Linked DNA regions of Oreochromis niloticus. The protein of the gene in region 2 purifies or fractionates together with the protein of the main gene of each other region. This does not show direct contact. Links are inferred from orthologs where the notes say so. Each region holds a gene or a part of one and is shown on either strand. Other genes may lie near its edges. The genes, in order: fra10ac1 and ess2.

Region 1 (12,271 bases), on a different chromosome or scaffold from region 2:
TGAGAAAAAGAAAGTTAGCAGCAAGGACTAGAAGCACATCTCATTCTTCAAAAAAAATCTGCAGCAAGACTCCAGTGGGAGGATAACCTGTGATCCCCCCCAAAAAGAAGAGAGAATGAAACCTTTTGGTACTGTGCACTCCTTGATCCAATATAACACTATAGCAATGAAAAGAAAGGTCAGTGTTCTTCGTGATCCAACCTTATTGGATGGAAACTAGTCAGCATTATCCACCAGCATGATCTGAAGTGCACAGAAAGCAGCGATGATAAGGGGATGGTTTCCAAAAAAGGTATTCATGCCAGAGCAAAAGTAAAACGTGGGCATCAGAGGTGGTACAAGATCAGTTTAATTGACAGGAAGCAGTACTACACACGAGCTCGGACTAGCAACACTTAGTCCAAGTGGAACTGCTTGTAATTGAACAATAAATCAAAAACGTTCACGTTGATGACTCGCCAACAGATTGTTGCCAAGATTCAAGTGTCTGTGATTGATGACACTCTATATCAGCTTACAAATCAAATCAAACTCCTGTTATACTCAATCCATGACAAAGACTTGCACCAGTGTATTCTTCACGTCTGAACGGGGGCGTCAGGCCCAACTTACAGAATTTATTTAGTATTGATTTCACTGGAGAGGGTTTAGAGTCCCATGCTCTAAACAGTACTTAAGGAGCATGTCTCTGGTAATTATTAATGTCCACAAATCACAGCTGAGGCAGCTAAAGTGCAGTGCATCTGACCTAATCTAATCCCACTTCCTGTAGAGTACTGCTACATGGCTTGAACTGTCAGAGTCCAAGATTACACCGTCTTAATCCGGAACAACATATTGGCTTAGTCAGCTTTCCCAGACACGCTGTTTGTGTGTTTATGAGGTTGTACTGGTATAAACATAATTATAATAATAATTTAAATGTTAAATGACTCTGCATATGTGTGTGTGTGTGTGTGTGTGTGTGTGTGTGTGTGTGTGTGTGTGTGTGTGTGTATGAGATTGTGTGTGTGTGTGAAGCTCACTTTATTAATGAGCTGTCAAGGCAGGCTCCCTTGCTGAGCAGCAGCTATTGTCCTTCCAGGTAAACTTATAAATACCACTGTCACACAAACGCAGCGGTAGACAGAGAGGTGTTGTACTAATCCTGAGCAATAATAGCAACAGTAATCATGGAACCACTGCCAAACTATCAAGCTAGTCCAGTGGTATCAGAAAGCTACAGTGTTGGGTATCAATGGACAGATTAATCCGTGGCTGCTTAAGATGGGAAGCCACAAGCAAACACGGAAAGAAAATTCAGATGAAAGGTCAAATCGTTTAAAGATTTATGACGCCATTCTGGAGAGCCATAAAGTCAAACCAAATTGCAGCAGGCATCTTTTTTTAAAGAGCCTGACATGTGGAGAGACTCCTGAGGGGAAGCACCAATCATAGGTGATGTACTGCTGTGTGACTTGTCTTTATCTCTGTCTCCATCTAGTGGAGAAGGTTGTGAGGTGTGGGTGAGAAAGCTATAATCCCACTTTACTATGGTTCACTGAGGTTCACTAAAATGTGAATTTAGAGCAGCACCGCAAGCAAAACACAAACAGAAATTAAAATATCCCGTTTTCCAACAGCTTTCTGAATCCGGACTTTATGTCAGCATTACATAGAATATTATGTAATAAGGATTCAGTTCCAGCCTCTTGATTAAATCGGATCTCTTTGCTCAACAAGTATGCTTTTTACTGCAATTTAAGATCACTTCTCCCCTTAGGGGTCATCACAGCAGATCATCTTCCTCCCTCCCCCCTATCACCACCACCCCCTGCATGTCCTACATGCTGCCTTTCCTGTCTTCCTCCCCTCACGCAACCAGTCGTGGCAGATGGCTTCCCCTCCCTCAGCCTGGTTCTGCTGGAGGTTTCTTCCTGTTAAGAGGGAGTGTTTCCCGTCCCACCGTCGCCTTGTTCAAAGGGGGTAGTCTGATTATTGGGGTTTATTATTAATATTGTGTATTACTGTATTATTGTAGGGTCTTTACCTTACAATATAAAGTACCTAATTTCTAATCTTGTCCATCCTGATCACTCCCATTTAAAAATATAAGCATCTCTAGCTTGGCTTCTTTCTCCCTCTCGTTCTTCCTTCTGTCACAAATTACCCCTGACACTCATCTCCACCCACTCCACCCTGTGAGCTCTGCATTATTTTGGATGGTTGACCCCAGGTAATTTATTCTACCTTCACTACCTTTGCTCCTTGCAGCATCATTGTTGCACCTGTCTCCTCCTCATTCACACACACACACACATCTATTCTGTGTTGCTTCAACTGCTTTGCATCCCTCCTCTCCCCAGAGCATACCTCCACCTCTCCAGGCTGTTTTCCAGCTTATTCTCTTCCTTATTCCCACTACAGATCAAACTGTAAGTGCTCGATACAGCAACATTAGCAGGAACATGCAAGCATATAACAGGTGTATGCCATACCTTTTCCAGAGACAACTTCATTCTCTGTCCGCCATCGAAATCCAAACTGTTGGGCACAGATTTTTTAAATGAGCATAAATGAGCAAAATCATATACACGAAACCGACTAATGCATCAGATCACTTTGTCATGCATATAGCCTGCAAGCCATAGCTGTGTTTGCCCCACCTTTTAATGCTTATTAGTTTTCAAAGGCAGTTGGATCAGAAAAAGAACTGATAATATAAGGACTGCATATATTTGTGTTTATTCACCCATGCACTCTTATTATTAAATGCTGTGCATGCACATTAACTTGTTCATGTAAACACATCTATAGTAAGTGGTGTCCTTTTGACCCGAAGTACTGCAACTCGCCCTTTATATTTTTATTCGTAGGCGTTCTAGAATAACTAGTGAATAAATCAGGTGCACAACCTTTTTAGTGTTTAGCGGCTTCGACTTTTTAAATTGAAATGTTTCAATTTACCTACAGTGCCTCCAATAAACATAGATAATACCAGGTATTCTGTATTGTGCTCCATGTCGGAGGTGTAAGCGTAAAAGAGATCTGTGCACAGAAAACTCATCAGCACAAATGCAGGAGATACTGAGCTGGGCCACACGTGTGCCACTTTTCATCAGTTTTAAACGTTGGCCTCGCTCCAAAAAGGCTCAGCGATCACTGGAGACAGAGCAGAGCGCCAGAACACATCATACCCCCAACTTCAGGCTAAAATGGGCTCGCTATTATGGAGATTAGTGAGACTTAGGTAATATTAACCTTTACACATGGCAACACCGCAGGGATAATTAGTGTAATCTTTTTTGGAATACTGGAGCAGGTCCTGGTAACGCTGATTGCTGAGGTGCCTACGGGCACCGTAATGTTATCTTATAGCACATGTAGGTGCGTAAGTGATAAATCGATTTCTAGGACTTAGAAATTGGTTCATTATGTTAGTAGTTTTGACTCTGTATACCACTAGCGTGGATTTGAAATCAAACAATCAAGATGCGACTGATCTGTAGACTTATTTTAATTGACAAAAAATGACATAAACCTATCAGAGGGACAGCAGAAAGTTTAGGAGTAGTGGACAGCTCAACAACACTAAAAAGCCTGAAAGACCCACAGAAGATGGCTTTGACAGTGCTTCACAGTACAAATGGATAATGACCCAAAGTATGGTGCAAAAGCACCCCGTGAGTTTCATCTGATCTCCACTCAATGCAGCATGTTTTTCAGTTTAATGAAGATAAAGCTGAACGCAGAGAGACTCACAAACAAGCAGCAACCCATGGAGGCTACAGTAAAAATAATTGCCCAAGTGTGTTACTAAGTCACGTTATAGGGGGCTAAACATGGGACCTCAGTAATGAGGATGGGCTCACTGATCACGAATTAAACTTTAGTACAAAACCACAAGCATTACCTTTTGGCAATAACTGACACATGTAGTTTACTAAAGTATAGTAAATGTGATGTGTGCTTAAGTTGTCAGACTGTAATTATAATCCATTCTTTGATATAATGCAATAAATAATACTACATAAGTCTACATAGGTAACATGAATATTACGCATGATTAGCCAACATCAACATTCACTTTCTATCAACTTTATACTAAAGTGTATTTAACTATAAATGTTTAATTTATTAAGAATGATATCATGAAGTGCTACCTTCATTCGAACCGTAATTTAAGGTTTTAATTCCTGCACCTTGTGTGAAACTGGCTTTTTTATATGACAATTTTTAAATGCTTTCAAATATTCAAAAATGCTATCATATCATACTACAGAAACTGCTTTATATAAGCTGTATTACTGTTTAAAAATTGGTAAGAAATCAATTATATTTCCATTTCTCTCACCTTGTTTTCCTTGTATCTGCTGAGGTCAGCTATGCAGTATTCTTTAAACAGCTTGTCATAATACTTTCTGGCCAATTCTTTTTCCCTGCAACAGAAAAAACCCCCACAAGCAACTAAGAAAATCAGCACACACATCATTAACTGACTTCTAGTGTAACATATAGACTTTTAAGAAGAGAACTGAACAGGTAAAAAACTAATTCATTATTACTGATGCCACTAAGTTGATCACCATGTCATGTCCTCCTCGTCCTCATCCCTCCAGAGAAAACGATGGTTTTCACGCAGCACGTCTAGATCTGTTTTGTCCTTGGCTCTACGGGGAATAAATGTAAAATGACAAAGTTTATGAGCGCGCAAAAACCGAAAAACAACTTCTGCAACTATCACTTTTAATGAAATGATTAACTGGATTGCAGTGATGTATAGACATATTGTCATTATTTTGCCTGGAGTGACAGCAGCTGACTGTTCCCCAGAGTTGACTGTGAGTAAGATTACTCACGCTGAGCGCTTGAAGTCAACCATCTGTCCTCCGTAGTACAGTATGTAATCACCGACAAACTTCTTGTGCCGCTCAAACTGGAGACATCTGCTTAAGGTCATTCTGTTGTTCAATGTTAACTTTTGCAACTGTAAACACAGCCTAAAATTTCCTACCGCATCACATTTTAATATCTTAAAAAGTTACGTTTCATCAGCCTCTTCATCGTCTACTCACAGCCGAAAGAAATGATAAATGAAGAAAGGATACAGCGTTCATCGATATCAGGTGGGCTCGTCTGTTCCGGGCTTCTTCTCTAAACAAAACAAAAAAATATAAATATAAGTGATGCATTTTTATCAAAAAAAGACAAAAAAACAAAACAAGATAATGTGTGATAGCTTGCAAAGAAAAAACAATCCACTGAGAGCATTTAATCAGATTGGCCCATAAGAAGTGACATTAACTGTAGTGTGCATCGGTAAAACGCGTGCAGCTAAAAACCATTAGCACTTCTTCGATCTGCTATTAGTCACCATACCTGTCCACTTCATTTGAGTGCGAGCTGCGGTGAGCCACCTTGGAGTGGCGACCTTTCTGAAACGGCTTCTGTAAGATTTCCTCCTCATGTTTCCTGTAGAAGGTACACATAATAGCAGAAAGCTTGTGTTAGTGGATGGAGATGTCTACCCACACCAGTGTAAATGTAAACTAGTGAAGAAAATGGATTAAAAACACTTGTGTTTACTCCTATTATCGTTTGTACAATCCCATCTCATTTGGTCAGCACAGATACAGTACCAGGAGTTCGGTTGAGCCAAATGTGAATAACGCGAAAAAGTATCAATTAGCCTACGTAATTCTTTAGCCTTCATTTGACCTTTTAAGGCCTCTCTGTGAGGACTCTCCCTGTCCATCTTCATCACTGAAGTCAGAGTCATAACCGCCGCCCCCATGAACCTGAGGAAACACAGGAAGTGATTTGTGAATCATATCTGATGATACATGTTGCACTTACCCACACACTTTCTGGCAAAATTAGGCATATTAGATAAAAATGCATGCGTACACTTGCACTGTACATCCTAACTGTGAGACATGTATTGCAACGTGTGACACGAATAGGGTAATGACTGATCTTATAGTAAACATGACACTATGTATTAACATCTGCTGCACACATATACATATATATATAAAACCATTAAAGGGTGCATTTCTGAATGAGGGAGGGCATTTTTGCATATTTCCTCTGATCAGTGCTTTCTCTGTCTGAAACAAAACAGACTCTCAGTCTCATCAGTTTAAGTCAACTTTCTTTTGATTGTCGATAAAGAAAGGGTTTAAACAGCAGCTGGATTGAGCTCCTATTTGCTTAAATCAACCATATTATATTATAGATGGCTCCTCACTTTCACACCATAGAGACCCAAAGGTGGGGGGAAAAAATAAAACAGAAACTCGGCTGCAGCAGTCTCACCTCATTCTTTCAAACATTAATCATGTTTAATACTGTAAGGGTATAAATATAACAGAAAAGAAAGAAAACGGGAAGCATAACAGGTCAGGTTTAAGTTAACTAGAACATATTCTATGCCTTTATAATTTGATCCAGGTCAATTTATTCTCGGGCCAAGCATTCCTTCATAAAAAGTGTCGACAAGTTTCCTGTCTGACGTGAATAAACAGAGAGTAGGAGAGTGATTTTATTGTTAGGTTTTAAGGTATTTACAATACTGCTTTTTGGAGAAAAGCATCTATTGTCACTGTTTTATATTTGTAGCACTTTGGTCAACATTGTTGGATGTAAAGTGCGTTATAAATAAAGATGCTATGCTATGCTATGCTAATTGTCCAATATACTTAAGACATGAAAACATAAAAACTAGAATGATCCCATTCTATTTTATTCCACAAGTGCCAGCCTCCGCTGGAAGTGGAGCAAATTTGGTGGGAACACAGACAGTTCTCACGTCTCATGAATGTTTCAAGCTTCCATAAAATCATCTCTTCATTTATTTAACCAACACTGGTTGATCTAAAAGTCCATCTTAATGGATATGGGATGAATTTGACCCAGTGTCTTGCCCCAAAAGTGATCGTCTGCTGAAAAAAATAATATCCGGTTGGCCTGTAATCTGTCAAACATGTCTGCACAGCTCGATGATATCAAGTCATTTCTACACAGAAATAACATTCCTGTGACAAGTAGAAGCTGCAATCAATATTTGGAAATGTAAATTTTATATAGCCTTTATTTATCCACGTGAAAAGTTTCCTTAACATTAAAAATGTGTTTGTCAAGAAAGATCCTGCCTTGGGTGTAGCAATAAAAGTGCAACAAATATAACAAAATACCTCTATAAAGACATTTAAAGTGGCCAGAACGGTCTGTATCGATAATACATAATGTTGAACAAAAGGTTGGTACAATAATGCAGTCATAAAAATACTTTCAAAACAGGTAATTTCTTTATGCTATATGTAACCCCTTCAGAAATCCTTTTGGCTGCAGCCTACTTATCAATATAAGCAACGATATTAGCCATAGAACAAACCCAGAAATCGGAAATTACATTTTAATGATGTAAAAGAAAAAAAAAATTGTGTAATTTATCTCTCAAAGTCACCAAATGTCTGGCTAAAAGAAGACAATTGGAGTAACTGTTACAACGAGAGACTATAGCAGCAGCTTTCCCTTACTCAGTGTGGCAGAGCAAGTGCTCAATGGTGGATGAAATAGTGAACAAAGTGAGATATTTTGGAGGTCCCGTCATCAGAAACGAGCTATGACACGGTAACAGGTGCACGACGACTCTGACTGCTGTGAATTTCACACAGGCACGCGCTTTAGCTCGTGCTTTGACCGCTTTGGACCTGTCACGCGCCACAGACACCGCTCATCCCTGACTGTAACCAGTGAAGCAGTCAGGAACCAACACGGCGTTAGCAGGCATCACCGACATACCTATCTGTGAGGGGAATAACGGGCTGCTAACAAATACGCGAACACGTCCTCACAGTCTTGTTTGCAAAAGAAGAGACGCGACTTTATCACATATATAAAAAGTTTACCTTTATCACATGTATAAAAAGTTTACCTTCACAAGATCATCCATGGCTTCTTTTTTTCCCCCTGCGAACTGCCGCTGACTGTTTACAAAATGTAATCGCCATGTGATGACGTAAGAAGTAAGTCGCGGTATGATGACGCAGACAGACATGAATTATATTTAGAAGAATCTGAGAAAGATTAAGAAATAAGTCCAAGAATAATTTATCATTTCCTCTTTTTTTTATGATATTAAAGCTTACATTGGTTTGTAGTCAGTAACTAGACTCTAAAGTCTAATTTTGTGTAAGTGTAATTGGCTGATAACAGTTTCTTTAATCGGGCATCTAATTATTTTCTAATTTATCAGTTCGTCCATCATCTAATTTATCTAATTACCCATTTATCAGGGGGCAAGTCAGCGTCACCAGGTGAAATGAATAATCTATTGGGGATGAAAGGGGGGTGCAGTACAACATCGAGCATCGACATTCATTTTAGAACAAATGGCCCAGTTACACGGATCAACCAGCAATTGATTCATATCGTTCACTTCCGCCGAGGGACACTGGAGGATGTATTTGAATTGTGGACTGAAAATAAAGAGGGCATTGTACCGTGTGAATGTTTTGAGTTTAATTCGGACTCGGGGTTATGAGATATGGTCGGGGTGAAAGGCTGACACAGCCAGTCCGGGAACAAAAATGCAGTGTTCCCTGACTTCCCATGTAACCCACCGAACCCATCAAAGGACCTCATCTGGGAAAGAAACGGCACAGCTCTCATCATTTATTACTGAAAAAATATGTCGTCCTATTAGCTATTTAACCACACATATTCATCCATTTGGATAAACAACATAAAAGGCTTTTTACATACATGTCAGGCAAACACATCTGTTTTTAATAAGGATTTAAAACGAGTTTAAAAACCACGCAATCCAAACGGATGGAAATTTTTATTTGAAAATATTTTATTCATGAAACCCTATGATATGTTTCCCCGTGTATGCTATTCCACGACATTCATTTTAATGAACATAATATAAAACACTGCTCTACATTTTTTTTCCCCTGTGTAATGATAGTCTGGAGATCAGACTTTACCAGCCATTTCTTATGCACCAATATCTGATTGAGTAGTCTTTTTGATGTATTTTTAACCGTATATTATGCCCGTCGTCTTTTCACATTTAATGTCATTATTATGCCAGAGAAGGGAAGAAAAGAGGCAGCATTTGAATGAGTGGGGCAGGTGCATTTGCACAGAGAGCCTCATGAATAGCTGCTCCCCCATTAGCCATGCACGGCTCTGAAGCGCGCATAAATAATAGCTGGCACCGCTGATAAAATAGCGCACCTTGGGGCCTCTCTCACCCTCTCCCCCCTCCATCTCTCTTTCTTTCTTTCGTTCTTTCTTCCGCTCGCTTTCTCTCTCTAAGGGCATCTTCTTCTTCTTCTTTTTTTGTCTTTTCTTTTAGCACAGCCTTTAGGCTACGGGACAACTCCAAAAAGCCTGATTTTTAGCCTTGCCTTTTACTTAGGCATGACAAAAATCTGAGATGTTTTCTGCTATTATGTCCCATCTGCCCCGCATTTGTAATCCTGCCCCTTGCAGAACAAATCCACTGGACTGGTGCCTTCCTATTGAGACGCTAGAAGCATAGAAGACTGCCTCAGAGCGCTCTATCATTAAAAGCAAACAAGACAGAGGACCTCGGCTTTAAAAAGCAAAACGATCAAACAAACTGAAAGCGTCAAATTAATATTTCCCGATTGGCTTTACACGTCGCAGATTTTGCTTGTAAGTTGCATGTGCGTGAGTGGAAGTACTCGGCTCGGGACAGAAGGAATGGGATACCCGAGCAGAGCAGTGAGGGGATGGAGAAGACGGAAAGGATGGACGTTCTTGGTTTGGGTCGTTGTTGTCAGCTTGGCTTTAGCTGACGGACGGAGAGTGAGGCAGCCCAGATGCCCCCACGGATGCACCTGCACAAAAGATAATGCACTGTGTGAGAGTGTCCGATCTGTGCCCCACACTTTCCCATCCGACGTCGTTTCACTGTAAGTGATGCTGCATGAAGTGGTGAAGTGTCAGAAAGCTGATTACATTCTGTGTCATATTTGCACTTTGATTTGTTTCTCCTTTTAATCAGATCTTTTGTCAAGTCTGGATTTAATGAAATTACTGGAGGAAGCTTTGCGCACACACCTACCCTACACCTGCTGTGAGTAATAGCTTTTAATCTATCTATTTATCTACGCATCTATCAATCTATCTGTTTGTGTATCTGTCAATCTGTCTGCCTATTTATCTATCTGTCCATTTATAATTTATGTCTGTCTGTCTGTCTCACTGCTTCCTTGATTTAAAAGTAAGGTTGTGTCTTAACAGGCGACTTGCACACAGGTTTAGACTCAGCTTTAAAGGGGGATTCTCTGTAATGGTGTCTGGATTATGCAATAGACCACATGGCTACAGCAACTAACAGCAAGAGGAACAGTGTGTGTGTGTGTGTGTGTGTCTTCCCTAGAAACAGGGTGGCTGAGATAAACAATGAGCATGTTCTCTAATTCTCCTGAAGAATTCAGCCCTAAGCTGTAGTCAAATAACAGGCTTGCACACGAGTGTTCACCTTCTCTTAACAGTGCTGTTGATTAATGGCCTTCATTATTTAGTATCTTGACAGGACTTGAGCCTATTGAGCAAATGCGTTCTTGCAAATCCGCAAATTAACAGCAAGGTCAGACTTAACTGTACTCTACGCCGCACATAATAACATGCTGTCAAGCGTCAGTCTAGCTTTCCTGGCACCGGTTCCTTCATTCTCTCAGATGACAGTGAAGTCAAGGCTAAATGTGCATGAAGCCTCAAATGTAGGAGGACGTAGCATCACGTATCTGAAGACTGAGCTTGTGACCGTTAGGAGGGAGGTAACTGAAGATGAGTGAATAAGTGCACTGCCTCATCTGTTATTATTCCCTGCAAAGGTGACTTGAAGCATCTTAACCTCCATTAAGGCATGCTTGATCAGTGGCATTTTTTTGTAGTCTGCATTAGCCAAATGTCAGGGTCACTGGCTTCCTCATTTTAAAAACTTTAACATCTTAGGATTGTAATATTTCAAGCTTGATATAATAAATAATATTGATGGTACTTTTGTTCAATATTTAAAAGAATAGAGCCACTCTGTACAGTAACCAAATGCCAGCTTAATAATAAACGAAAACCCTTAATAATCTGGTGGAGATGAGGTGTACAATATGTTGCCGATGGACACGATTCTTATGTTAGTTATTTAAAAAGTGACTCAGAAACAAGTGGGAGGGAGGGGGGGGGGGTAAGAATATTGATTCTTTGCCATTTCTTATGAGAAATATGTAGGAGTGAGTGGCTGTTTCTCTGTTTAATCTGAGTCATTCATTGACCACATACACAGTGGGTAGAAATGTTGAATGAGTCTGTTGTCTATTACAGTATCCCAGTCCCCCATCCAGTTTCTCTGCTTTTTGCAATAGACTTACTGCCACTGACATTACGTAAACATCCATGACCACATTTTCTTATTGTTCACAGCCCACACAAATCAATATCTTCTTGAAGTTCATCTCAGTTAAGTTGTAAAACACAAACAACCAGCTGTTAAGAAAAATCTATGTACAGTTGCTTTAAATATGGCAATTTGCATTAGTCTAAACGCTTCCATCCTTTATATTTTGCTTCCAAAGAACCAGACTTTATCTAATATCTTTATAATTTTTAAAGTGGTCTTCAGCAACAGTTTTCCAGGCTTTCTGAAGACCTTTCAAAAGTTTACGTTGGACATTGGCTGCTTTTTCACTCATTTTCAATCCAGTTGTTCTACCTGACCATTTTCAGAGGAATGTTTCTTTTGTTGTTGAGCTACTTTTAAATTGCATTTTAGGCACTGTTATACTAGCCTGCCACAAAAGTGCATAATTTGTTTCCTTTTCTTTAGTTGAATCTATGAAAAATGCCAAAGATAACACTGTTTGACAGGCATAAAATAATATTTTTGATCCAGCAAAGAGCTATTAGCTGAAAACTTGGCATATCTCAGCAAACTGTGCAGTGTGTCCTTTACGTAACTGAGGAAAGTGGACAACAAAAGTACAAGTACAAAAGCACAAGGCAACCCCCCCCCCCAAAAAAAGTAGATGAATAGTGTCTGAAAGTTATGTCAAAAAAAGGAAGAAATTCAGCGAAGACCTGAAAAATGCATCTGGCCCTTCAGTTGATCCCTCTACTGTTCACTGAAGCCTCATCAGAAATGTCATCAGTGGAAGGGTGGCTGTCAAGAGCATTTCATAGGGAAACAGAAAAAGGTTCAGGTATGCCAAATTACACAAGAAATGGACTGAAAATCCGCAGCGATCCGTGT
Region 2 (12,271 bases):
CTTACAATATTTACCTAGAACGTAGCTGGAAAAGTTGCATTCAAATATACTGTAAAACCGTACATGTAGGATTTATGTGTATTTATGTTTTAAGTCATACATACCCGGATTTCAGATTAGCGTCTGAGATTAAAAGTGCCCTTTGTTTAGTTTGTTGGGATCTAATCACCTAATATTTTATTAATTAAAGACACATTTCATTCATTATTTAATGATGTACTTACTTAAGTTATTTTGGCACCCTAGGCTTTCCATAATGTTATCACCATACTGAGGCATCTCTACAGGTTAACCTGTGATTGGGGGTCTCAAGTAGACTGTTTCATTTTTAGGAGTCAAAAAGGTCAAAAAGGTAAGGAAACCCTGGCATATAACCTACAGGATTTCTGCATTTATTACTGAACGTTGTCAGATCTTCATCTAAGTCACAGTTATAGACAAACACAATCAATAATGCAGTCAGTGCTTTTATTTTCCTGTCTTTATTGAGTACACAAGTAATCAGTTAAGGTGCAGGGCTGAAAAAAATATATTAAGTGAACCAAAACCCTCGTGCTACAGATTTCTCCAACTGCTGAAGTCAGGTGTCCCAAATGTAAGAGGTGAAACTAGAAGTGTGGACTGGAGGGGCGTCCCTCCCCCTAAATGAACGCACACAGAGTATGGTTGAATTCAAGTGCACATCTAACACAACAGTTTTCACAGGTCCTCAGAAGTGACTGGAAAAAGCTTGAAAAGGCCTTTTAAGGGCCTGTGTCGATCAATCCGCAGTGAAGTGTGCACTCCTTTAAAAAAAAGTTTTTTTAAAAAGGTGATAAAGAGCAGAACATCTGCACAAACCTCTTGAAGTCTTTGTTTATGTGTGCATTTGAGCTGTCAATGAAATGAAATGAAAATGATACAAATCTAATCTTTAATTTGTTTAATGTGTTTCTTGTCTGTTTAGCTGTTATTTATTTTTTGGGAAAATGAATAAAATTTAAAATCTGAGTGTGAAGAGGAAGAGAGGCTCTATAACCTGAGCTGCAGAATGAAAAAAGCACACCAAAAAAAGAAATTGCGCAATTTTTCACTGTTACTCCCATTTTGATTCCATCTTTTTCTTGCAAGCTCAGTCTTGCAGCATGATTTTGAAGCAAAACAAACTAAACACCAGATCCCACTTCAGGTCCTTGGGGGGAAATAATATTTTTTTTTAAAAACACAATAAAGAAAAACATTGTGCAATGCAATAAAAAAATACTTTATGCAACAATGGGGTGGCACTCCAGATTCCTACTCCCTGTTGGTGCATAATATCTAACATGTCTACAGTTTTTTTTCTGCACAAGTTCAGGAGGAAACAGAAAGAGTAGGAGGGTATGATCCCCCGGTCACCCTGATTCAGTCTCTGTTTCTGCAGGAGGTATCGGGCCCGGGTCCAAACACCAAGCAGAGAAGCTGAGCATTTTCACACGTGAGCGTTCTGCTGCCTTGCACAGCTCCGTGCTCGTTTATCAACAGTCCGTGTGTGGGTGTATTTATAATCCAGTGTCTCCTGTCTGATGTGCACTGATTTGATTTGTGTCCTTTAATCTTCTCATTTTTTCCGCCCACGCGCTTTCTGTCTGAATAGCCATTTAAAATATCAGATCGTGACACGTAACCCTAAAGAGCGCACACACTCAAAAGCATCCAAGCAAATCACCATTCTGTGTGGCAACTAATATTTTCCAGGCTCTGTCTTCCAAATGCAGTGTCACACTACAAAAAAGGCAGAGAAGTTATTACAATGATTACAGTGTCTCATTCAGCCTCCGCCTCATTTAGTTTATTTATTCAGTCTTCTCATAAAACACAGACAGTGTCTTCTTCTTCTCTTCTTTCAGCTTCTCCCTTTAGGGTTCACAGGGTTCATCTGCCTCCATCTCACCATCTCCCCAGCGTCCTCCTCTGTCACACCAACCCTCTGCACTTCCTGCTTCACTACATCCATGAATCTTCTCTATGGTTTTTCTCTTTTCCTCCTGCCTAGCAGCTTCATCTTCAAAACCCTTTGTCCTTTACATCCACTATCCCTCCTCTCCAAATGTCCAAACCATCTCAACCTTGCCTCTATAACTCCCATTGACAATCTTAGCATCCAGCTCTTCCACCTTCAGATCCACCTCCTGTCTTACTGTTAGTGCCATCGTCTCTGAACCATGCATCACAGGAGGTCTCACTATTGTCTAGTCATCCTCTCATTATTGCTGCTATCCTTCTGTCACAAATCACCCCTAACACTCGTCTCCTCTCAGTCCACCCTCCTGCACTCTCTTCTTCACCTCTGTTGTGCTCTGTCCACTGGTTTGGATGACTGAGCCCAGGTACAGCCTGATATTTCACCTTCACCACCTCTCCTCCTTGCATCTTCACTGTTACACTCATCTTCCTCTCACTGACACACATATTCTGTTTTGCTTCTTCACCTTAACTCTCTTCACTTTTTTTGTGTATTTCCATCTCTGTCCTTAATCACCCTGACCATCAGTTCAATCTCTCACGAGTCCTTTTCTCCTTCCTTAGCGTCCAGCCTCAAATATAACTCATTAAAAGCCTTTTTCTTGTCTCTTTGCTGCTATACGCCTAGCCTCCTGGTACCCCTGCCTCCTCTCTTCATCTCTTCGATTATCCCACTTTTTCTTTGCCAACTTCTTCCTTTAAATACTTTCCTGTATTTTCACAACCCAGTCTCTTGCTTTTCTGCCCAGAGGATACAGCAAAAGCCTTCTTGCCTGTTTCCTTCAGTACTTTAACAGTTATCTGTTGTCTGCACAACATTCTACTTTTTTCAACCTCCACTGTTTAATCCTTGCCTCTGCTTTCACTTGCTTCCTCTTTTTGATTTCCAAAGCCATCCTACAGACTACTATCTGATGCTGTGTAGATACATCCTCCCCGGACTTGCACCTTCTGCACTGGAGATAGTCAACCTGTCCACCTGTGTATCCTGTTCCACTCTGCGTCACTCCTCACAGGCTTTTTGCATCTACCTTTCTTCTTTCAATCACATGAGCCATATTACCCTTTCCCAGTCATAGTCTTCACATTTAAAGATTATACTGTCAGCTCCACACGTCTGCATTTCCTTATTTGCCTACTTTGTTTTGAGGAAACAGTTGCATAGCTTCCCTCGTCACTCCCTATCTTTTCTAACTTATTCAATACTGAAACCTTATTGATCCAAATGAATTGAAAAGAGGTTTTACATCAGATGCTTTCTGACAAAAACCTCATCATTTATCTGAGCTAGGGAGCCACACTAGGAGTACACTGGCATGCCCTGTCATTTTAAATTAAACCCCCACAATACAACACAGTAAGAAATCAAAGTATAAATGATCCATAAGATGACGATGCTCATTTTAAACATAGCCCAAAATGATATGAGGGATAGCAGATATGATCAATATGATCATTTGGGGCAAACAGAAACCCATCTGGTGTTTAAACCTTCTGTTCACGAGGGGCAGCCAATCAGAAGAACGTTGACAGAGGTGCTGTCCATTTTAAGGTAAAAATGATTATTTTGAACAGTTATTCATTCACAGCTACCTTCTAATACCATACCACTTATTTATAAAGCACTTTTAAAAATGCATTGTACAATTCATGTGATTTTCATTGTAATAAATCCCAGCATATCAAGAAAGACTTTTCCTTAAGACAAAGAGTTTTATACTATTTTTGAGTCTCCTAAAAATGCAGAAAAGAATTCATCTGCCACCCGTCAGCTGTGGTTCTTTTCTCTTTTACTCCTTGTACCAAATATTGCTTACAACGATAAAATGGATCTTTATTGTTGTAATCCCCTGTAATGAATTTTGAACTGTTTGAACCAACATGGATATGGTACAATTCCTTCTATTGAGAACCACAATAACTGCAGATAGGGATCTCACTTTCTCCGCAAACTATACATCAACAATCTGGATGCTATTAAACCCGAGTGAAAAGGATGAGATGGTGTTTATTGTTATCTGTTTTCAAAAAGCGCTTATAAAGGGAGCTTAGAACAGATTGTGGAAATCCATTAATTCTTTGGGAGGGGGGAAAAAAAGGTGTATTGCCTTGTATGAAATCACAGGATTTGTCGGGGTTGGAGGTGGTGGTGGGGGGGCTGAATTTAACCTGTAATAGCTTTACCTCAGCCGTGCACATTGTCAGAAAAGTCAGACTGAAAAGACTGCAGCACAAAGATAAGACACATGATGCACGATCGTGAATACAAACCACTGGGATGGATCCATTTCTCCGAATTTTCTCTCGCTGTGTGCAAACATACAGATCCATCAGTGTCACCATACATAACTGACACGGGCCAAATGAGTCACCCCGTCATCTGCAGCTCCCTAATCACTTTGTAATCACTTTAAGTGTGCATTGTTGTTGACAGTGTAGCCGCAGCTTATGTAAATAAATATACCAATTTATGCAGGATCGTTTGTTGACAGAGCTAAACGCGGAAGCGACATTATGAAGTGAATTTGAAGAACTAATCCTCAGATTCAGCATACACAAGTCTGTGGCCACACCAAGAACGCTCATCTTTAAATCCAGGTTTCTAATACCAAGAAATCCCCTTTCCTCTAAAACCTTAACAATAAGGATCTTAGGAGCTCTCCACTTCTCATTTTATGCAGTGAAATCTGATTTCTTTTGAAGAAAGGAATGAGGCAAGATTAACTGAATCTGCCGTCCTCCCTAACCTCTTCACAAAACTGCCCAGATTAGCAAGGAATTAGGTTTCAACCGTTTTTATGTGACTGGTCCATAGGGGGGGATTATAGTTTTACTTTTTTTTTTCTTTTTTTTGGCCTCCCAATTTCACTATAAGGGCTTGACACGCTCCTGTAGAGAGAAGAAGGAGAAGGAGAAGAGCAACTGAGGCTCGAAGAGTGCTCTGTGTGTGTGTGTCACAATATCCTGTGATCACCACTGCTTTTGAGCTTTCACTGGAACTTCTTTGGAGGTGGAAGGACTGATCAGGATGGAGAGGCAGAAGTTTCCCTTTACTATTGAGAACATCCTGAAGTATCCAAGCAGCAGTGGAGATAAACGGTCCTACGGAGCGAGTGGTCTTGGCTTAAAAGAGAAGACGGTGAGTCCTGCTGGAGGCCAAACAGAGGCGGTTCATCATGCCTGCCTGTGCTGCTGCTACTGCTCCCACTGTGCTGACATACTCCAGCCTGACTTCATCCACGAAGGTAGGACCACACCTTCTGCTTTTGTCTGTGGTTGAGCTTGATTCTGCTCCCCCAACCTTAAATCAGACCCCCTCCCTGCAGCTTGTCAGTATGGCTGGAACCCAGCAATCCTCTCAGATTCGTGCAGGCTGGGAGACACTCACAGGGAGGAGCAGTCACCCACTCAGCTGCAGAGGCGAACCCGGCGTCACCGGACCATTTTCACCGAGGAACAGCTGGATGCACTGGAGGAGCTGTTCCTGCAGAACCAGTACCCAGACGTGAACACAAGAGAGAAACTCGCACAGCGCACTCACTTAAGAGAAGAGAGAGTGGAGGTAACACAGCAGCATCACATAATTGTTTTTATTAAATATGATGGTATGCTAATAATGTAAATGTGAATAAAAACTGTTGTAGATACTGAATTTAATAAAATGACAGCTCAACAATGTTGCCTCTTTTCTGTCAATCAGGTTTGGTTTAAAAACAGAAGAGCCAAGTGGAGACGTCAGAAAAGACTTTCATTTGTTGTGGGAAACACAGAAAAAAACTAAAAAAAAAAAGTTTGCATGGCTCTGTGTGATCCAATCAAAATAATTTGCATATATGTAACATATAATTCTTATATGTAACCATACATGTAAAATCCTGGCATGTATTGACACTATTACTGTAAGTAAAACCTTGAATTTGTAAATGGGTTGTTGTAGTTTGCACAGACTGTTAAAAAAGTGTCCTTGAGAAAAAATACAGTTGTCGGGGGTTTTTTTAAGAAAAGAATAAATGCCTTTTTTGGGCCACCCATAGAAAACGCACCTAACTTTTTTTTTTTTTTTTAACCCAATTTGAATAGAATTTTAAAGCCTAACTTTATCAATTTCTTTAGCATTTCTTTGTCAAACAAGCGACCAGGGAGTCAGAACTAGCCCGCCAAAGAGTCCAGCATGGCTCAGTGAATGGTTTGCTATATCTGAAAATTACAATGAAGTCATTAATATGTTTAATATGTCTAATATCAATTTTCCCACAAAATGTTGTTCGTTTCTGGTGATGACAGGCATGAAAATGTTTCAAAAGTTTAAATTACTTCTGACTAATTGTTTACACTGTAAATAAATATATAAAAAATTATTAAACTGTTAGGCACTAAAAACTCCACATGTGAAGGTCTTGTAAAGCCACTGTGAGACAGGACACTATAGTTTGTCTTCTGTACTGTAAATGGAGCGTAAGTCTATAAAGCCTTTTTAAAAAATTATATATATAAATATATATATATATATATATATAGATAGATAGATATAGATATATATATATAGATATATATAGAGAGAGATATATAGATATAGATATAGATATATAATTTATATATTATATATAATTTTTTATTATTTATTTATTTATTTATTTATTTAAGTTGAGGTCTGCGAACTATCAAACCGCTTTCAAGGTTTATTTTGGAAAATTCTAGAGAAGTCGTAAATTTCCGGTGACGTAATCATTCGGGCTGTGCGTTGTTTGTACGCTGGTGGCTAAAAGTCAGCTTATGTGTTATAGTTGGTGGCGTTGGGCATTTTTAAGTGTCGGGTTTTTACGTTGTTGGTTAACTTTTTAAACGGTGTTAATCCACTGAAAGAAACATCCTCTAATAGCTTAATTTTCGTCGCTATTTGTAGTAGAAGATTATTTAGCCATCCGGCTAGGAGGCTAACAGGGTCCACAATGGAGGGCAGCGCCAGCGTGAGGAAAGCACTGTCCGGGACTCTCGTCCCTTTGGCGATCTCAACAGTGGCTCTTCAACAGCAACCAGAGGATAAGGATAAGGGAACACTGAAGAGAAAAGTCCTGGATGAGGAGGACTACATTGAGGTAAATAATAGCAGACATAGACAGGCACGACTGTTAGCTAACAACTGTAAGTTAGCAGGCAGGTAATGTACAACACAGCTAAATTTCTTTAGACTAAAGACTTTATTGTACTAGTCTGGACAGACATAGAAGTGTATAACAGCTCCAAATATTATGCAGTCAGTGTGGAAAAAGTGTTTACATATAAAATCTACATATAGGTTTAAAGTAAGATGCTTGTTACGACAGTACTTCACGATATGAAAGTGCAATAGCAAATTGCTCAAGTAAGGATTAAGTTACTAAAGTTACATGAATGCCATGGTAATGGCATGCATATACCCCGAAAATATTTGGTTAAATATTGTTTAACAAGTTGCACCACGACGAGACACTTAAGTAGCTATCAAAAAGCCCTAAATAAATCTAGCTGGATATTGGATCACTCTTCTTAGAAGAATTGTTAGAGTTCATTTAAACTGATTTGGTTCCTGGCACAGACGTGGCTTTAAGCGTAGTCCACAAGTTTTACAAATTTTCTTGTGTTGGAGCACACAGCCCATTGCCACAATGCCTCCAGAGGGTCTTTTAATAATGCTACTGTTTCACACAGTGGGGCAGTCAGACCGCAGGGTCTCTTGATGGGACCTAGATGGCCATCAAGGATCTGGTTCTCCACACTCCTCAGTCTGGTGAGTGGGGTCCTGTGTGTCTGTATACTGAGGCAACTCAGAGTTTAAGCTCAGAGCAGGGCTATATATGTTATATTGGGAAGAAAAAGGGAACAGCTCTGCCCAAACAGAGCTTTCCCACCGGATTGTTGACACAGTAAAACAGACGTACAAATAGTCTCTTCAGATATTAGTTGTCACACTACCAGGAACATTGCCTGGGCAGTAATTCGAGGTGTTCCATGAGGGGAAATCTGTGCAGCAGAATCCTGGGCAGTGCCTTACACGTTTGCTAAAGTCACCTGACTTAATCCGGTCTCAGGACCCACTCGAGCTTCAACTATTCTGCCATTGGCTGACCAGCAAGTTTTTCCTCATGACACTGCTAGTATAAGTCATCTTCATTGTTTACTGCAACTTCTGTAGGCAGGAGGGAAAGAAACCTAATTAAAGTTACAAAAGTTACCACAGTTCTGTGAACTCCCAGATAACTGCCAGTCATGCAGTTCACTTGGAGAATCTCAGTGCAAGAACATTTATAGAGATCAGATGTAGGGTACCGGGGGGTACTTATAGTGTACACGCGTAGGTAGCCTACAGGTCACACAGTTGACTTTGTTTATATGTTTATATGAAATCTCAACCAAGAAGACATAGCTGCATTGTTTATTGTCACTGGCAGTCTTCTGGGAATTCACAGAACCATAATTACCTTCGTAACTTCTGTTTGGAAACCTCACCTTTAGTCCTCCAAACGTAACTCTTGACATTATGGCCAGTTAGCTCAAACTTTGTCACTTCTGACCATAAAACCTTTCTCCAGAAGGCATTTGGCTTCTCCATGTGGGCAGCAACAAATTTAAGTCGAGTTTTTAAAGGTATCGATTTTAGAGCAGGGGCTTCTTTCTTGGTCAGCACCCACTTGGTCCACAGTGAACGGTAAAACTTTTTTTTTTTTTTTTTCTTCAGCAGTTTTCAGTTCATGGCTGGTTTTATGCCTTGGTGGTTACAGGGTTGTTCCTGAACAGCCTAACCAATTTCCTGTCATCTGAGGTTGACAGTTTGGATTTTTTCTCAAGACCTCGGCAAAGTGGTGACACATCTGTTAATCTTTTAGAATAGAATAGAATAATCCTTTAATTGTCCCACAAGGGGAAATTTGGTTGTATCAGCAGCAAAAAAAAACACGCATATACAAACAGAACAGGACACACAGAACCGAAGCACAATTTTTACATATTTACATCATGGACAATAGTTACCAGAGCAGAGTACAGTACAGTTGTTTAAATTAGCGTACACATAGTGTGCAAACATAGCAGGATACTGAAAGATGTTTAAATAGTTAAGAATATTTAGAATAATTAGAAAAGTGCAGATTGTTTATTGTACCCGTGCATTAAAAAGTAAACATGTAACTTTCAATAAGTTAGTGTATATATAAGCTGAGAAAAGTAATGTGCAGTTATAACAGTAAAAGTTGTTACAGCGCTGATGTAAACATCTGCGTTTGTTGGGAGCAGTTCTGATTGTACAGTCTGACAGCTGCAGGGAGGAAGGACCTGCGGAAACGCTCCTTCATGCATCTAGGATGCAGCAGTCTGTCACTGAAGCAGCTCTGCAGTTCAGCAACGTTTACATGCATGGGGTGGGAGACTCTGTCCATCAGAGATGTTATTTTGGCCAGAGTCCTTCTGTCTCCCACCACCTGCACTGGGTCCAGGGTGCATCCCAGAACAGAGCTGGCCTTCCTGATGAGTTTGTCCAACCTCTTCCTCTCAGCTGCCGATAAACCGCTGCTCCAACATACCACACTGTAAAAAATGACAGATGCCACCACAGAGTCATAGAACGTCTTTAAAAGCGCTCCCTGGACTCCAAATGACCTCAGCCGCCTCAGCAGGTAGAGTCTGCGCTGACCCTTCCTGTAAAGAGCATCAGTGTTGTGGCTCCAGTCCAGTTTATTATTCAGGTGAACACCCAGGTACCTATAAGAGTCCACTATCTCAATGTCCACTCCCTGGATGTTCACCGGTGTCAGTGTGGTGGGTCTGCGTCTCCGGAAGTCCACCACCAACTCCTTGGTTTTCCCGGCGTTGATCAGCAGGTGGTTCTGCTGACACCAGTCCACAAAGTCCAGAGTCCACTGTCTGTACTCTGAGTCGTCCTCACCTGTGATGAGGCCGACTATGGCAGAGTCGTCAGAGAACTTCTGTAGGTGGCAGCGTGGGGAGTTGATGGAGAAGTCTGCAGTGTAGAGGGTGAAGAGGAACGGTGCCAGCACAGTTCCCTGTGGGGCCCCCGTACTGCAGACCAGCGTGTCAGAGACACAGCCCTGTGACCTCACATACTGTGGACGTTCTGTGAGGTAGTCCAGTATCCACTGGGACATGTGGTGGTCCACTCCTGATAGCTCCAGCTTGTCTCTCAGAAGTCGTGGCTGGATGGTGTTGAAAGCACTGGAGAAATCAAAGAACATGATCCTCACAGTGCTTCCAGGTTTCTCCAGGTGAGTCAGAGCTCGGTGCAGGAGGTAGATGATGGCGTCCTCCACCCCGATGCCAGGCTGGTAAGCAAACTGCAGCGGATCCAATGAAGACCTCACCAGGGAGCGCAGATGGTTTAGAACCAACCTCTCGAGGGTCTTCATCAGATGCGATGTCAGGGCTACCGGCCTGTAGCTGCTGAGGTCCTTGGAATGGGAGGTCTTTGGTACCGGTACCACACAGGAGGTCTTCCACAGCTGTGGTACTTTCCCCAGTGACAGGCTCAGGTTGAACAGATAAACTAGGATGTCACACAGTTCATCTGCGCAGCATCTCAGGAGCCTGGAGCTGACGCCATCATTTTACATACAGTTATTTCAACTGATGATCTTGTAATTTGCAGTTGTTTAGATATGGCTTCAAGAGATCTTCCCAACTTGTGTAAATCTAAAATTCTCATTCTTAGATCTTCATTGGGTTCATTGGACCTTCCCATTGTTCTGAGTATTGGTCAATCCACTGACTACAGTCAAACAAATCCTTTCTATGCTGGCGAAGAGAAAATACCAGTTGTAGTCAGTCGTGATCAGTTACACAAGGTTTTGTCCTTGCCGTGTCCTTGCCCTTGTTTTGGCTTTGTTAAACCTTTAGCAATACTCAAACGATTTAAGTCAGTGTGTATATATTGAACCTGTATACATAAATGTAACCCTGTTTGGATTAGAGAAAATCTAAAGTGAATTCAAATGTGTACACTCTTGTTTTGTTGTTGTTGTTGTTTTTTTAATTCATTAAAGATGTATACTGTACAGTAATTGCACCATGGAAATAAACTATTCAAAGAAACAATTAAGACTAAAATTACCATGACATCCATGCCCATGATGAGTGTACGTAAACATCTGAACACATCTCTATGTGCCATAAGCCCATATTTCCTGGTAATATGTCCTCTGTATTAACCTTCTGCCTGTGTTTGGTTTTTGTTGACAGAGCTTAGAGAAAATTATCCAGAGGGACTTTTTCCCAGATGTGACAAAGCTGCAGGCACAGAAGGAATATCTTGAAGCAGAGGAAAATGGAGACCTGGAGAGGATGAGAGAAATTTCCATCCGATATGGATCTTCGTTGACAAAATCTACACCACAGTCTTCTGCACCATGTGAGTGAAGTGGAATTAAATAAGACATTTTGTGTTCTCCAAGTAAAATACTGATAAAATACTTGAATTCAACAGGTGTTTTTTCTCATTGAAATTTTTTCTTTCTCTTCTGTTTGTGTAAGATGTGACGCCTGCTAGCTTTGAAACACCAGTGGGCCGGTCGGGATCCCCTGCTTCCACTTATTCTGCTAAAGCTGTAGATGGAGGTAAGTAAGCAGGGTGATGAACACATAACGTCATGCAATAAATATGTAATTTGTTAAAGCTTCACATCCACGTCTCGCTGTTAATCCCTCTTTTGACATTTACAGTGGGGCAAAAAAGTATTTAGTCAACCACCGATTGTGCAAGTGCCCCCACCTAAAATGATGACAGAGGCCAGTAATTTGCACCAGAGGTACACGTCAACTGTGAGAGACAGAATGTGAAAAAAAAATCCATGAATACACATGGTAGGATTTGTAAAGAATTTATTCGTAAATCAGGGTGGCAAATAAGTATTTGGTCAATAACCAAAATACAACTCAATACTTTGTAACATAACCTTTGTTGGCAATAACAGAGGTCAAACGTTTACTATAGGTCTTTACCAGGTTTGCACACACAGTAGCTGGTATTTTGGCCCATTCCTCCATGCAGATCTTCTCGAGAGCAGTGATGTTTTGGGGCTGTCGCCGAGCAACACGGACTTTCAACTCCCGCCACAGATTTTCTATGGGGTTGAGGTCTGGAGACTGGCTAGGCCACTCCAGGACTTTCAAATGCTTCTTACGGAGCCACTCCTTTGTTGCCCGGGCAGTGTGTTTTGGATCATTGTCATGTTGGAAGACCCAGCCGCGTTTCATCTTCAAAGTTCTCACTGATGGAAGGAGGTTTTGGCTCAAAATCTCACGA

Evidence for each region.
Region 1: the proteins of ess2 (region 2) and fra10ac1 purify together in Homo sapiens (co-immunoprecipitation; 3 studies listed by BioGRID and IntAct, counting the BioPlex papers as one, with this or other methods). This does not show direct contact. The link is inferred for Oreochromis niloticus from reciprocal best matches to the Homo sapiens genes ESS2 and FRA10AC1.

Annotation. Positions count from the first base shown.
Region 1 is NC_031973.2:14,959,283-14,971,553, forward strand, and holds the start of fra10ac1 (protein FRA10AC1), read right to left. Parts: upstream 8,016-12,271; 5' UTR 7,937-8,015; coding exon 7,919-7,936; intron 5,778-7,918; coding exon 5,698-5,777; intron 5,452-5,697; coding exon 5,359-5,451; intron 5,134-5,358; coding exon 5,088-5,133; intron 4,916-5,087; coding exon 4,839-4,915; intron 4,650-4,838; coding exon 4,566-4,649; intron 4,419-4,565; coding exon 4,334-4,418; intron 2,524-4,333; coding exon 2,478-2,523; intron 1-2,477. Other genes in the region: lgi1b (leucine-rich glioma-inactivated protein 1b), read left to right, coding at 9,682-9,932, 10,025-10,096. UniProt on the Homo sapiens protein: May be involved in pre-mRNA splicing.
Region 2 is NC_031972.2:22,308,525-22,320,795, forward strand, and holds the start of ess2 (splicing factor ESS-2 homolog), read left to right. Parts: upstream 1-6,679; 5' UTR 6,680-6,932; coding exon 6,933-7,079; intron 7,080-11,208; coding exon 11,209-11,377; intron 11,378-11,499; coding exon 11,500-11,583; intron 11,584-12,271. Other genes in the region: homeobox protein goosecoid-2, read left to right, coding at 5,012-5,228, 5,310-5,545, 5,684-5,764. UniProt on the Homo sapiens protein: May be involved in pre-mRNA splicing.